Linked DNA regions of Oryza sativa Japonica Group. Each later gene encodes a partner of the first gene's protein in a complex. Links are inferred from orthologs where the notes say so. Each region holds a gene or a part of one and is shown in the gene's direction. Other genes may lie near its edges.

Region 1 (4,352 bases):
GTCCCTTTTCTCGGTGGGCAAGGTCCTCCTTTTATAGTTCAAGGGGATACCACATGCATCGCCTCTACCTACTCTTTCATGGGAGGGGGACCCACTTTACCTTGACCGGGCCACGATCTGTGCCTTCACCCGGAAGCTAAGCAGCGGCCCGTCCTTGAGTGGGACCCAGCGCCGCCCCCTTCCTAACACGGGGGACAGCCCTGTCATTCCCTTATAAATGGGCAGAGACCTTTGGCCGTCCTCCTCATGTCGGGAGAACTCCGGATGACGCTCCGATGTGACAGGACACACCTACCTCCACTCCGCTGGAGAAAAAGGCGACGTGGGGGCACGGCCGCCCGTCCAGTCAGACGTGACCGGCAACAGGCCGGTGACAGACTGGTTAGTCCTGACTGACGTGCGTCAGTCGGACGGCACCGCATGTCTGCCCCTACCGCATTAAATGCGGTGAGGGGCAGTTGGGGCGCCGCGCGCATTGATAGCGGTTCAGCCTGGGTCCCCTCCCCGCTCGCTCCCCCTGCCACATGGCAGTCGGGCGAGGTCCTCGGGGCAGGGCAGCGCGAGGGCCCGAGGGGCATGACGTGGCACCCTGAGGCCCCCCGGCCGCTTCTGCGATTCGCGAGGTGCGGGGGTAGGGCCAGGCTGCAGGGCCACGTAGCTGGATGGGAAGGTAAATTCCCCTCACTTTACATACCCCCGGGCCCATATCTCCGACAGATAGCTAGATAACATCAAATTAAGTAAATTAATGTGATTTATGATAATTTAAATTTAAATAGTATGTAGAATGGTGATTCAAACGTAAAAAGTAAGGTGGTATGACTTTATGGAAGAAGAAAAGTAGGGTAGTTTGGACCGTAGATTAATCATTTAAAGGCTAAAAACAATTGATGTGATATGACTTAATTAGAGGAAAAAAGGAGAAATATAATTTGGACCATAGATTAATCATTTAAGCACTAACTAAGTGAGGATGAACTATATAAGTATGTACTTCCTCCGTTTCACAATGTAAGTCATAACATCAATATGAATGTGGGAAATGCTATAATGACTTACATTGTGAAACGGATGGAGTAGGATTTTATAAAATATAGATATACATTGAAACATTGTGTGAATTATGTGGGATGATAATTTAACATGCTTGTATTTTAAAAGCTCTTAAATTATAAAAACTATAAAATTATAGATAATATAACATGTTTGCATGATGTTTAAATGTGATGATCGTTAGTGGATGATGATGTGGCATCTGGTTAATTAGTGGATAATGATGTGGCATCTTTGCATGTTAAGCTTAAATGAGTTAGTGGGGGGTAATTTTATAGTAAGATAGGATTAGTTCAGCTGTCATAAAGATAAATCTTCTACAATTACTCCATTCTGAAAGATCCTTGTAGAAACTCACAAGTATAATCCAAACTCCAAAAGAATTTTCGGAGGGATTTTGCCAGCTGCCACATCAACAAAAAGGATGAACCAAATTAAAGGAGATCGAGGAATGGTGGCACAAGAAAACAGGACCAATTGGCACCATCATCGTGCACTTTATCCTTCCTCCTCCACACATCCCTAACCCACCACATCCAAACCCCTCCTCCACACACCAAAAAACAAAAAACATAGAAATAAATAAATAAAAACAATAGCAATATCCAAAGCAACTCATCAGCACACTCACTCTGCAACAAGCATGCAGACGCCAACCATGTCGACGTCCATGGCCACGCCGGCGAAGCTCCCCTCACCGCCGTCGCTGCCGATAGCGAGGCAATGCTGCTGCCACCTGCTGCAGCTAGGGCGGCGCGGCGGCGCGGGCGTGGCGCGGGCGTCGGCGAAGAAGAAGAACCCGTGGCTGGACCCGTTCGACGACGGGCCCGACGACGAGTTCGACTACCGCGGCGCGTTCTCGGGGGGGAAGCAGGAGGAGGACCCGCGGCCGCCGGAGGACCCGGCGAACCCGTACGGGTTCCTGCGGTTCCCGGCGGGGTACAACCCGGAGCTGGATAGCCTGGCATCCAAGGTGCGGCGCGACGTGCGGCGGGCGTGCTGCGTGGTGTCCGGCGGGGTGTACGAGAACGTGCTCTTCTTCCCGGTGGTGCAGCTGCTGCGGGACAGGTACCCCGGGGTGGTGGTGGACGTGGTGGCGTCGGCGAGGGGGAAGCAGGTGTACGAGATGTGCAAGAACGTCAGGTACGCCGACGTCTACGACCCCGACGACGACTGGCCCGAGCCCGCCGAGTACACCCACCAGCTCGGCGTGCTCAAGGTAAACCAAAAATTATGTCACTGCTACGTACAGAAATAGTCACTCAAAGTGGGGATGTATATGTTTTAAACTCGATCGAGAAGGGATTATGTCCACTCGTTTATTCAAACTTCATCTAAATAATTGTTAAGAATTCTTTCAAAATTGACAACATACACACCGTACGTGTAAAGTACTCAAAAAAAAATCAAGTCAAAATTCAACTCACACATTGAGAAATAATTAAAAAAAAATCCAACATATGAGTAGTGTCATGTCTGAATTCGTCTTTTGTTTCCTCAAAGCATAGATCGAATTTAAATATGTTTTTATGGAGTAATAGATGTTATTATGCATTGTCATTTTTTTTTAGAATTTTTCACAACCAATTACATTGAATTTAGAAAATAAAAATTACACGAGAAGATATCCTCTCGAGAGATTAGAATTCTCTCTCCTTCAGAAGTGTCATGCCCAGCCCAGGTTTACATTCTCTAATGGTCAGCAGATTTCGACTTTCGAGCCATAGTGAGTAATCGGTTTTTCATTAATTTCGACAAATTTCAAACAAACCATTGGAGTTGCACATCTCGAGCCGGTTCGATATATGCGCTGAATTTGTTCAAAATTTATTGTGATTCTCTAAACATAATAATATCAGATAAACCTGCTTAATTATGTTGCTTCCCCACCACATATGCTCAGTATTTTGATTAGATTATATTTATCATGAAAGATTCAACCAACTGAAGCTTGATTTTGTGTTGAGGTTGGCAGAACAGGTACTATGATCTGATCATATCGACCAAGTTGGCCGGGATAGGGCACGCGCTCTTCCTCTTCATGTCGTCGGCCCGCGACAAGGTCGGCTATGTTTACCCCAACGTCAACAGCGCCGGCGCCGGGCTGTTCCTCACCGAGATGTTCCGGCCGCCGACCACCAACCTCGCCGACAGCGGCTACAACATGTAAGATCATCATCCTCCTCTTCTCCGCGGTTTCGCCTCCCCTTGGTTCATAACTGTTATAATTTCCTCATCCGAAAAAGTTACTGCTTTGGCATTCTTGTGCTGTATAGTTGCATTTAATTTATATAGGGGCAACTGTCTCATCTTTTGCCTTTGATTTAGGTTGAAAAGCCATAACAAAATGAACTAGGCAACCGAATATGATTTGTTGGCAAAACTTTTAACTGTTCTTAATGGTTCAAAAGTCAATATTGAGAAATAAACTATGATAAGGAAAACTCAAAATCAAATCTAAAATTAAATTTTAAAATTTAATATTTGGTTGCGGCTAATAAGACAAACAAGCAGAGGCAGAGTTATAACCCTTATAGTAAAGCAGATATTGCCTAGCTCTTCTTTTGCAACTTAGGAATCTTGCTCAATTATTCTTGTAGAAGAGTTGAACCAATTACCGTCAAAATCCTATAAAATTCTTGCAAAATGCTTTCTGATTTCGAAGAGTGTGCAACTGGATGGATTAGGTATCAGGACATGTTGGAGTGGATTGGGCGGCCAGCGAAGGGTGTGCCGGAGCACCCGGTACCGCCGTTGCGGGTGTCCATCTCCAAGAAGCTCCGAGCGTTCGTGGAGGACAAATATAGCCGTGCCGGCGTCGAGAAGGGCAAGTTCGTCGTCGTCCACGGCATCGCCTCCGACTCCTTCGCCAACATGAGGTCGAGGGGGGACGATGACTGCCTCCTCCCTCTCGAGCATTGGGCTGAGATCGCCAAGGAGATCAGGTTTTTCACCTCACCTCACTCACTCACTCAAGCACGGCTGCTCTTACACTTACATTTCCAGCTTGGTACCGATTGTGAGAAGGTAGAACTAAAGCCAAAAAAATGGTGGTGTCTTGGCAGCTCTGAAGACAATGGTCTGAAGCCTCTGTTTGTGATCCCTCATCAGAAGCACAGGGAAGAGGTTGAGGAGACTGTGGGGAAGGACACCAATATCCTGTTCATCACCACTCCTGGCCAAGTAGGTTCTTTGATGCTTCTTCATTACAATCACTTTGCAATCTGAAAACACCTTAGATCATCTTTCACAGGTAACATTACAATTCTTTATTACTGAGTGTTTTCTTTTTGTGATCC
Region 2 (3,972 bases), on another chromosome or scaffold:
GCCAATGGTCATTGGATTAATATGCCTAGCATATGTCATCACGGTCGATGACTGGTGAAGGATCCTTCACCAATATGTCGTGGTGATAGACCCTGTATAGTACAGGCTCAGTAGCCATGACTATGGTACCTTAGGCACCTAAACCTATGTCATTCTTTGGCTTGTTTTCACAGTATGTTTGTTAACCTCTTAGTGTTGATAGGCAAAGTGGTCTCCCTTTTGTACTTTGCTTACCTAGAATTCCTGTGGCCTAATGGACATCTGAAATCTCCGTACATAATCTTAAATCTTCTGCTTGTATAACTGAATGAATCGGATGGAATTCTGAGTGTTAATTCTTGTTCTTCCAGCAAACTTGCTGCTCATGAGGCCCAGAAAAAGCTGGAGAAGGAAGAGGAGGATGAGAAGCGTATGCTGCAAAAGTCCAAGGAGTTGGACGCTTTTGATCAGCAGAATCATGGAGCCGTCCCCCAATACCACGATCGCAGCGGCTCTGAAGACAAGAATGGTTTTCATGGAGCAAACAGCGTGAAGGTTACTTCCTTTGAGGAGGAAGCCCTTCGCAACATGAAGGCATTCTGGCTTCCATCAGCTACACCTGAAGCTACTGCCAAAGTAGAAGCTCCCTCCACTGACACAATCTGCCCCGAGGGACAGGAGAAGCTCAAGTTGAAATCGCTCTTCCCTATCTCCTTCACTGAAGAAAACACCGACCAGAAAAACAAGAAGTCGGTGGAGAAGAGCTACATGTGCCCCAGTTGCAAGTCTACCCTAACAAACACCATGTCCCTGGTGACGATCAGCACGTGTGGCCATGTCTTCTGCAAGAAGTGCTCTGACAAGTTCCTTGTAACTGATAAGGTCTGCTTGGTGTGCAACAAACCGTGCAAGGAGAGGAATTTCGTTCCTTTGGAAAAAGGAGGAACTGGATTCGCTGCCCATGATGAGCGTCTAGAGGCGAGAGATTTCAAGCATTTGGGGAGTGGTTCTGGACTGGGTTTAGTGAAACCTGCCCCAAAGAACTACTAGCCTCAAAATATCTTAGCTGCTGTTGTATATTATTTATGTTAACCTGAAAATTTTGTTTCAAGCATCCCCTTTCGCTGTGAACAGTCTGGAGCAAATTCAGTCTTGTTATGCTAGTGGCACTATGGTTGCTAATTGCAGCTTTGCTTATTTGCTATGGCTAAATGCGTTAGTTCGCAGCTGTTGTACTATTTATCTACCAAGTTTGAAGCACAGTCAAAATCATCTTTCTTGTTACATCGAAGCTATCGAATATGTATCGCATGATCTGATGGTAGGATCGTGTGTGTGTGTGTGTACATATATTGTTTTTCAGCCAAAGTCAATGTACAAAAAAAAAGGTAAAAAGAGAATTGGAAAAACATAAAGCTCTCACATATCTCCACCACAATCACAACAGGAACGGATTGGTCCCATTTTGTCAGTCAGTGCTCAGTACGAGACAAGGCCAAAAGTTCTAATGAGGATAATGGAAATGCTGACCTGGCTTCCTTGCCCTCCACTCACACAGACACACAGACTACACTTGAAAAGCGAACGAGCCAGTCCTAGCAGCAAAGGATAACTTGACTGGAGGAAGGCAAGAACACGTATTTTCTTCAGGTTCATAGCTACTCCTGCAGGTGAAATGGCAAGCCTGCAGAATTTGATCTGCTCCGTTTCCAAGCAGGTGTGTGCTTGTGCCCTCTTCTCATCGTTTTCTGAATCTTGTTTATTTCACCACTTTATATCGGTGTTGTTTTCAGTTGGTTGCTCCAAATTGTGCTGTTACCAGCAAGCTGAATGCGTCTCCTCTGTCAGTCGTCAACGCTAGCTCGAGTGAAGCATCCTCGGATGAAAAGAGTAAATTCCTCTCTGTCAGTTCTCTCGATGCATTTTGTTTCTGAAGATTAACATTTTTTTTGGCTGATTATCTCTCCATCTTACAGATGTGACAAGGAGGAGATTAGCTCTGCTTGGTGCTGGAGCATTAGCCACTGGTCTGCTAAAGAGCAGCTCTGCATATGCTGAAGGCATGGCCATCTGAACTGTCGCATGGTTTTATTTCAGTACTAGGTTGTCTGCATGTTACATACAAGTTCCCACTTCTCAAGTAGCCATTAAGCCTTTATGGCACCATGAGATGATACTAACTCGGATTGTTCCTATATTCCAGAAGTGCCAAAGAATTACAAGTCTTATGTGGATTCAAAAGATGGATATTCATACCTGTATCCAGCTGATTGGAGGGTAGGTTGCAATATTTTCGTCTTGAAGAACAGAGATGTCAGTTCCAATGACTGTGTTTTCGGTGGTACATGGTATTGATGTATGCCCTTTGTTTTGATGTGTCACTTCAGGATTTCGACTTCCTGGGGCATGATTCAGCGTTCAAAGATCGTAATGTAGCGCTGCAGTGCGTGCGTGTGGGCTTCATTCCTACTACAAAAACAGATATCCGTGACCTTGGTCCAATGGATGAGGTAGGATTTCATGCGATATCTGATAATATCTTTCTTGGTAATGTAAAGGAATCAGGCAATTTTTTTAGCCTTTTCTTTTGTTATACATCATAGATTTTTTTTATTCTGACAATTTACATACTCCTCTATCAGGCGATCTTCAATTTGGTGAACAATGTTTATGCTGCTCCAAATCAAATACCAACTGTCTATGACATGCAAGAGGTTTGCCATTTATCCATCTCCTTCAATCAATACTATTTAGCCATATGATCTATCTGAGTATACCAAACTGTCGCTGCATTGCTCTTTCGCTGATTAATTTACGTCTGATCTCATTGGAATGGCTATAACAAAGACTGCAACAACTCTGCAAGCAAAATAAGCAACTGAGTTGTTGTGATTCGCAGCGCACCGTGGATGGCAAGAACTACTGGACATTTGAGTACGATCTTGAGGCCCCGGGCTACGGCGTGTCCGCATTTGCGACGGTTGCCATTGGAAACGGTATGATATTGATATGATGCCTCCTCACCACAAGATCGCAGAGATATATATCATCATCATCTATTAAATTGTATATTTCATCATGCATGTATTTTTTTTTCCTCTCATAAGAAGAAGCTGGTTAACCTGATGGCAATGGCAATGGCATGGCAGGTCGGTACTACACACTGATCGTGACGGCGAACGAGCGGCGATGGAGTAGGCTGAGGAACAGGCTCAAAGTCGTCGCCGACTCCTTCAAGCTGTCCGACCTCACCGCGTGATGGGAGGCAGTTCAATTGCAGAAATATCTTTTATTTTATTGCTTCGTAGTCATGTAGATACATACATACATACAGACGCTGATCTACCACTAGAAAAAGTGCTGGATCGAACACCCTGGCTCAGCTTCCAGGAAAAAGGATGCATAATTACCTTATAGACTTCAATTAATTAATTGTGTGTATGCTATTAGAGCTATTTTTCTATTATAGCCATCTAATTATGTTGATTGAATCGGTTCAACCATCAGTTGCAACTTGCAAGCGACGAGTAGCCATCAGTTAAAAAGGCAGACCATTAGGCCATAGTCTCCGGAGCCAAGGACTTAACAGATCAACAGCGTTTCTATACAGACGTGTGCACGATCAAACCAATACATTACAGAGGCGAAAGGAATCAAGTACACAGGCCTCAGAAAGAATGTTTGCAACTCATATATTACAACAATTACAATGCCCTCCAAACTTGCTAACTATTTCCAGAATAAGTTCCCCTCCAAACCCGCTAACTATTTCCAGAATAAGTTCCTAGAGTTTCAACAAAGCTAGTCATCTGAATCTTCAGACTAAAATTTTGTTGTCAAGACCAGGTCACCATTCCGCTCATTCAGAGCAGCGCCAGCGACACCTAACATTTTTCCTCCGACAAAACGGTAAGCCACAGAACCATGACCCCTGGCTGAACAGAGCGAAAAGGAACTTGATCACGCGCTAGGATAATTTACACCTAACAAACT
Region 3 (3,736 bases), on another chromosome or scaffold:
GGGACGGCTTGGAGCGGAGCGGCGACATTGGCGACAGGCGCGTGCAGAGGCTGACGGCGGCGGCGACCGGGCGGTCGACCACTCGGCACGCGCGCGCGGCTTGCAACGGGCGGCGTCCGCGCGGGCGCGCGCACGCGAACACAGCGCGCGGGAAGCGGCAGCGAGGGAGCGGTGAGGGAGGACTTGGCTCGGCGCGGGCGGCTTACGCGTGCTGGCTCGCGGGGCCGAGCGGAGGGGCGCAGGGCGCGGCTCTCGCGCTCGCGCGTGGCGCGCGAGGGAGGGGCGCTCGGCGCGGCGACGCGCGCTCGCGCGCGCGGCGCGGGGCGGAGCGGAGGGAGAGAGGGAGAGAGCGGGGGCGCGCCGGGGAAAGCGAGAGAGAGAGCCGGGAGAGAGAGGGGAAGATGGGCCGAGGGAAAATCGGCCCATCGACCCTGGGGGAGGCAAAATGGACTTTTGCGGAGGAATTTGATTTGGAGGGATTGGATTCGGAATTGAACTCGACGATAGATCGGGGATTGAGATCTTGAGATGGCACGGATACTAGACAACAAGCAAAGAAACAAATTTCGCAATTAGGGTTTTTAAGAGATAATTTCCCCGCTAGGCGCCACGACGGAACGGGCGCTACAGCAGGTCTGGCGAGGGGGGCGGGGAGGCCGGCGAGCTCGCCCTCATCCCACCTCCAACCCCTCCCCGCCTCCTCCCTCTTCGTATGCACTCGCTGCCGGCCTCCCCGCCTCCTCCCTCTTAGCATACGCTCGCTGCGGGAGCTGTGGGGGATGGCGGCGTTCTGGCTGCAGGCCAACCCCATCCTCGTCGGTGCCGCACCAAGTTGCCACATCGCCACCCGTCGCCAGCTGCCCTACCAGCCTCCTCCGCAATCCGCACCCGCTGGCCGCCCTGAGAAGAGAGAGAGGGAGGGAGAGGAGGGGAAAATGGGAAATAAGAGAGAGGTGATGATATGGCATCTTACATGTGGGACCCACGCGCTGACTCAGCCGTCACGTCAAATAAAACCGGGGTCAAAACCACCGAAGGATCTAAAGTGAACGGTTTTGTTAGTTGAGGAACGCCTGATATCTGGTTTTGCGGTTGGGAAACGATTTTGTAACTCGATGACAAGTTGAGGGACCTTCGGTGTACTTTTTCCTGGAATCATCTGTCGTTCCACGGGCCACGGCCGCCGTTTGGCGACGAGACACGCGGCTTGGCCCGCAAAAAAAACGAGGATTCCTTCCTCGGTCCTCGGGTGTTGAGTTGGGAAAGCCCATGGCCCGTGACGACGTACGCGGGCGTTTATAACGACGCGACAGAGAGGTGCCCGCGTTGCAGCAGCCACAGTTTGGGGATAATCCGATTCTCTACTCCCCAAGTGACTCACTCACCGATGGCGCCTCCTCCTATCTCCTCCTCCCTCTCGCTCATGGCCTCCAACCCAATCCCGTCGCCTCCGGTCGCCAAACCGGGCAGGCCGCTCACCGTCGCGGCGTGCAGCAACAGCAGCAGCAGCTCCTCCTCCTCCTCCCCGTCGTCGACCTCGTGCTCGGCTGCCTGGAGTCTCCCGGTGGCGACGTCGGCCGGCAGGAGGGGGCTGCTCGCGCTGGGCGCGGGGTTCCTGGCTTCCCCTGGGCTTCTGTGCCCCGCCGGCGACGCCGGAGCGACGCGCATCGAGTACTACGCGACGGTGGGGGACAAGCTGTGCGACATGAACGTCGTCAAGTCGGGGCTCGGCTACTGCGACGTCGAAGTCGGCACCGGCGCCCAGCCCCCGCGCGGCCAGCTCATAAATGTCAGTTCCGACAGAAGAGTTTCTCGCACTTTCTCTAGAAGAACCTGTGTTTTCTGAATATGATTAACTCCTGTATGGAGTAATTAAGCATTGGCAGATCATAAATTTGCCCAATTTGCATCAGTACCGATCCTTTAGTTAGTTCGACAACGAATAAACCTGCCATTTTTTTCTCGCCATGACACTGATAGGAGTTTCAAGTGTGTTAATTGGAGTTGTGTTCATGGTTGTAAGGTACACTACACTGCAAGATTTACTGACGGGATAGTGTTCGACAGCACCTACAAGCGAGGACGGCCACTGACAATGCGCCTTGGCGCAGGCAAGGTGCGCAGCTTTTGTTCATTGCACGTACATCTTCGATCGTAGCAAGCATCTTATGTAGTTATGCAAGGAATCTTATTGTTTGGTTCGTTCGCATTTTCATTCTCAGATCCTCCGAGGGCTTGAACAGGGAATCAGTGGTGGCGGTGGTGTGCCACCCATGCTCGTTGGTACTGTCAGAAATCCAGAAATAATAAGCATATGCATCTCTTTGTGTGTCAAATGCTAAAAATATAGTACTGCTTTTATTTTTCTTAATCACATCGTGTCTCTGTTGAAAATCGCAATAACATTACAGGTGGAAAGCGCAAGCTTATGATACCTGCAACTTTGGCATACGGACCTGAACCAGCAGGTTGCTTCTCAGGTAATAACGAAAGAAAAAAAAAAGTAATCAAACAAGTAATCTTAATTTAATTCTAGAAATTTGAGACCAGATTAAGTTTCATGTATTTAACGATGTTTCAGTGCTATCTGTCTGGCTCCCTTATTAGCATTCGCTAGAAAAAATATACAAATTTACAGAAGATTTACTTATTTAACAGGAGACTGTAATATTCCCGGCAACACCACACTCCTATACGACATCTTCCTGGTTGGATTTTACAAGTGAGCATATGATGAAAAGGAATATGCATGACTTGAACAGACTAGGTGCAAACAAGGTATGGTGGTGGTATTCTGAACCTGTCTGATTTTTTTTTCATCTGAAAACAGTATCCCTTGCCTAAAGGGGTTGTTGTTTGTTACATAAGCATGTTACATTCTCTGGCAGATTTTCGAGTAAATTTTGGCGTTTCATACAAGAGGCGGGACTACGGACAGATGAAGAGAAAGGGTGCGACATGCCTAAGCCCAGACGCCGAAAGCAAATGCGTCACCGGAGCTCCTTGGGTCTCCAATACGCAGAGTACTACATTTGCAATCTGTACCAAGAAGTGAAAGGATATATAACAAACCGGTCCTCTGATATACTATCAAATTGGTCTTATGTTTTCTAGAGAAGAAAAGTCTTGTGTTTGTGTAAGTATAACGTTGTAAAGACATGTCTCATTATTCATACTGTCATTGGTACAGCCAAACACAACAAAAATTCCCATCCTTTGTGGCAAGTCCTAACTAAATGAAGTTGAACTCTGACTGAATATCGATTGACTGGTGACTTCCAAACCTTCAACAGTTCAAGCAAGCTAATCGACTGTATCAATACTAATGTACTCAAAAAAATGTCGAAAGTTCGTGTCAAAGCACATGTGCAGTAGTAGCTTTGAGCCTTTGACTGCTGTCTGCACTGCAGTATTGCCACAAGATAATTTAATCATAGGTTTGTTAACCATCAAATCGAAACATGCATTGTTCAGACTTCAGAGAATATCCTAAAATCCTTTTATGAAACCAAAGAACACCCAAATCGTGAGAGTTGAACTATCGATTGACCGGTTCAGAGCCAGAACTGGTAGGTGAATGAGGGAAGAAAAGGAGAGCTGCCATTTCCGTGGCAGGAAGACTCAAGAATTCCAAAAGCTTCTTGTCGGTTTAAAACGAAAACCTTTTTCGTCAGATGCTCTGAATGCTGCTCGGTGTCATGAAATTCCTCATGGTTGTTGGCGAGGAGCCCATGGT

What was found.
Region 2: photosynthetic NDH subunit of subcomplex B 1, chloroplastic (region 1) and photosynthetic NDH subunit of lumenal location 1, chloroplastic share a complex: the UniProt entries of both Arabidopsis thaliana proteins name them as parts of the chloroplast NDH complex. The link is inferred for Oryza sativa Japonica Group from reciprocal best matches to the Arabidopsis thaliana genes PnsB1 and PnsL1.
Region 3: photosynthetic NDH subunit of subcomplex B 1, chloroplastic (region 1) and photosynthetic NDH subunit of lumenal location 4, chloroplastic share a complex: the UniProt entries of both Arabidopsis thaliana proteins name them as parts of the chloroplast NDH complex. The link is inferred for Oryza sativa Japonica Group from reciprocal best matches to the Arabidopsis thaliana genes PnsB1 and PnsL4.

What each region holds. Positions count from the first base shown.
Region 1 is NC_089042.1:10,685,920-10,690,271, forward strand, and holds the start of photosynthetic NDH subunit of subcomplex B 1, chloroplastic, read left to right. Parts: upstream 1-1,499; 5' UTR 1,500-1,696; coding exon 1,697-2,272; intron 2,273-3,028; coding exon 3,029-3,219; intron 3,220-3,740; coding exon 3,741-3,998; intron 3,999-4,118; coding exon 4,119-4,236; intron 4,237-4,352. UniProt on the Arabidopsis thaliana protein: NDH shuttles electrons from NAD(P)H:plastoquinone, via FMN and iron-sulfur (Fe-S) centers, to quinones in the photosynthetic chain and possibly in a chloroplast respiratory chain.
Region 2 is NC_089037.1:9,604,431-9,608,402, forward strand, and holds photosynthetic NDH subunit of lumenal location 1, chloroplastic, read left to right. Parts: upstream 1-1,534; 5' UTR 1,535-1,654; coding exon 1,655-1,696; intron 1,697-1,772; coding exon 1,773-1,869; intron 1,870-1,955; coding exon 1,956-2,039; intron 2,040-2,182; coding exon 2,183-2,256; intron 2,257-2,366; coding exon 2,367-2,489; intron 2,490-2,621; coding exon 2,622-2,693; intron 2,694-2,878; coding exon 2,879-2,975; intron 2,976-3,128; coding exon 3,129-3,238; 3' UTR 3,239-3,442; downstream 3,443-3,972. Other genes in the region: E3 ubiquitin-protein ligase CSU1, read left to right, coding at 351-1,029. UniProt on the Arabidopsis thaliana protein: NDH shuttles electrons from NAD(P)H:plastoquinone, via FMN and iron-sulfur (Fe-S) centers, to quinones in the photosynthetic chain and possibly in a chloroplast respiratory chain.
Region 3 is NC_089036.1:32,085,222-32,088,957, forward strand, and holds photosynthetic NDH subunit of lumenal location 4, chloroplastic, read left to right. Parts: upstream 1-1,312; 5' UTR 1,313-1,387; coding exon 1,388-1,789; intron 1,790-2,023; coding exon 2,024-2,116; intron 2,117-2,222; coding exon 2,223-2,283; intron 2,284-2,411; coding exon 2,412-2,480; intron 2,481-2,658; coding exon 2,659-2,726; 3' UTR 2,727-2,778; intron 2,779-2,888; 3' UTR 2,889-3,206; downstream 3,207-3,736. UniProt on the Arabidopsis thaliana protein: NDH shuttles electrons from NAD(P)H:plastoquinone, via FMN and iron-sulfur (Fe-S) centers, to quinones in the photosynthetic chain and possibly in a chloroplast respiratory chain.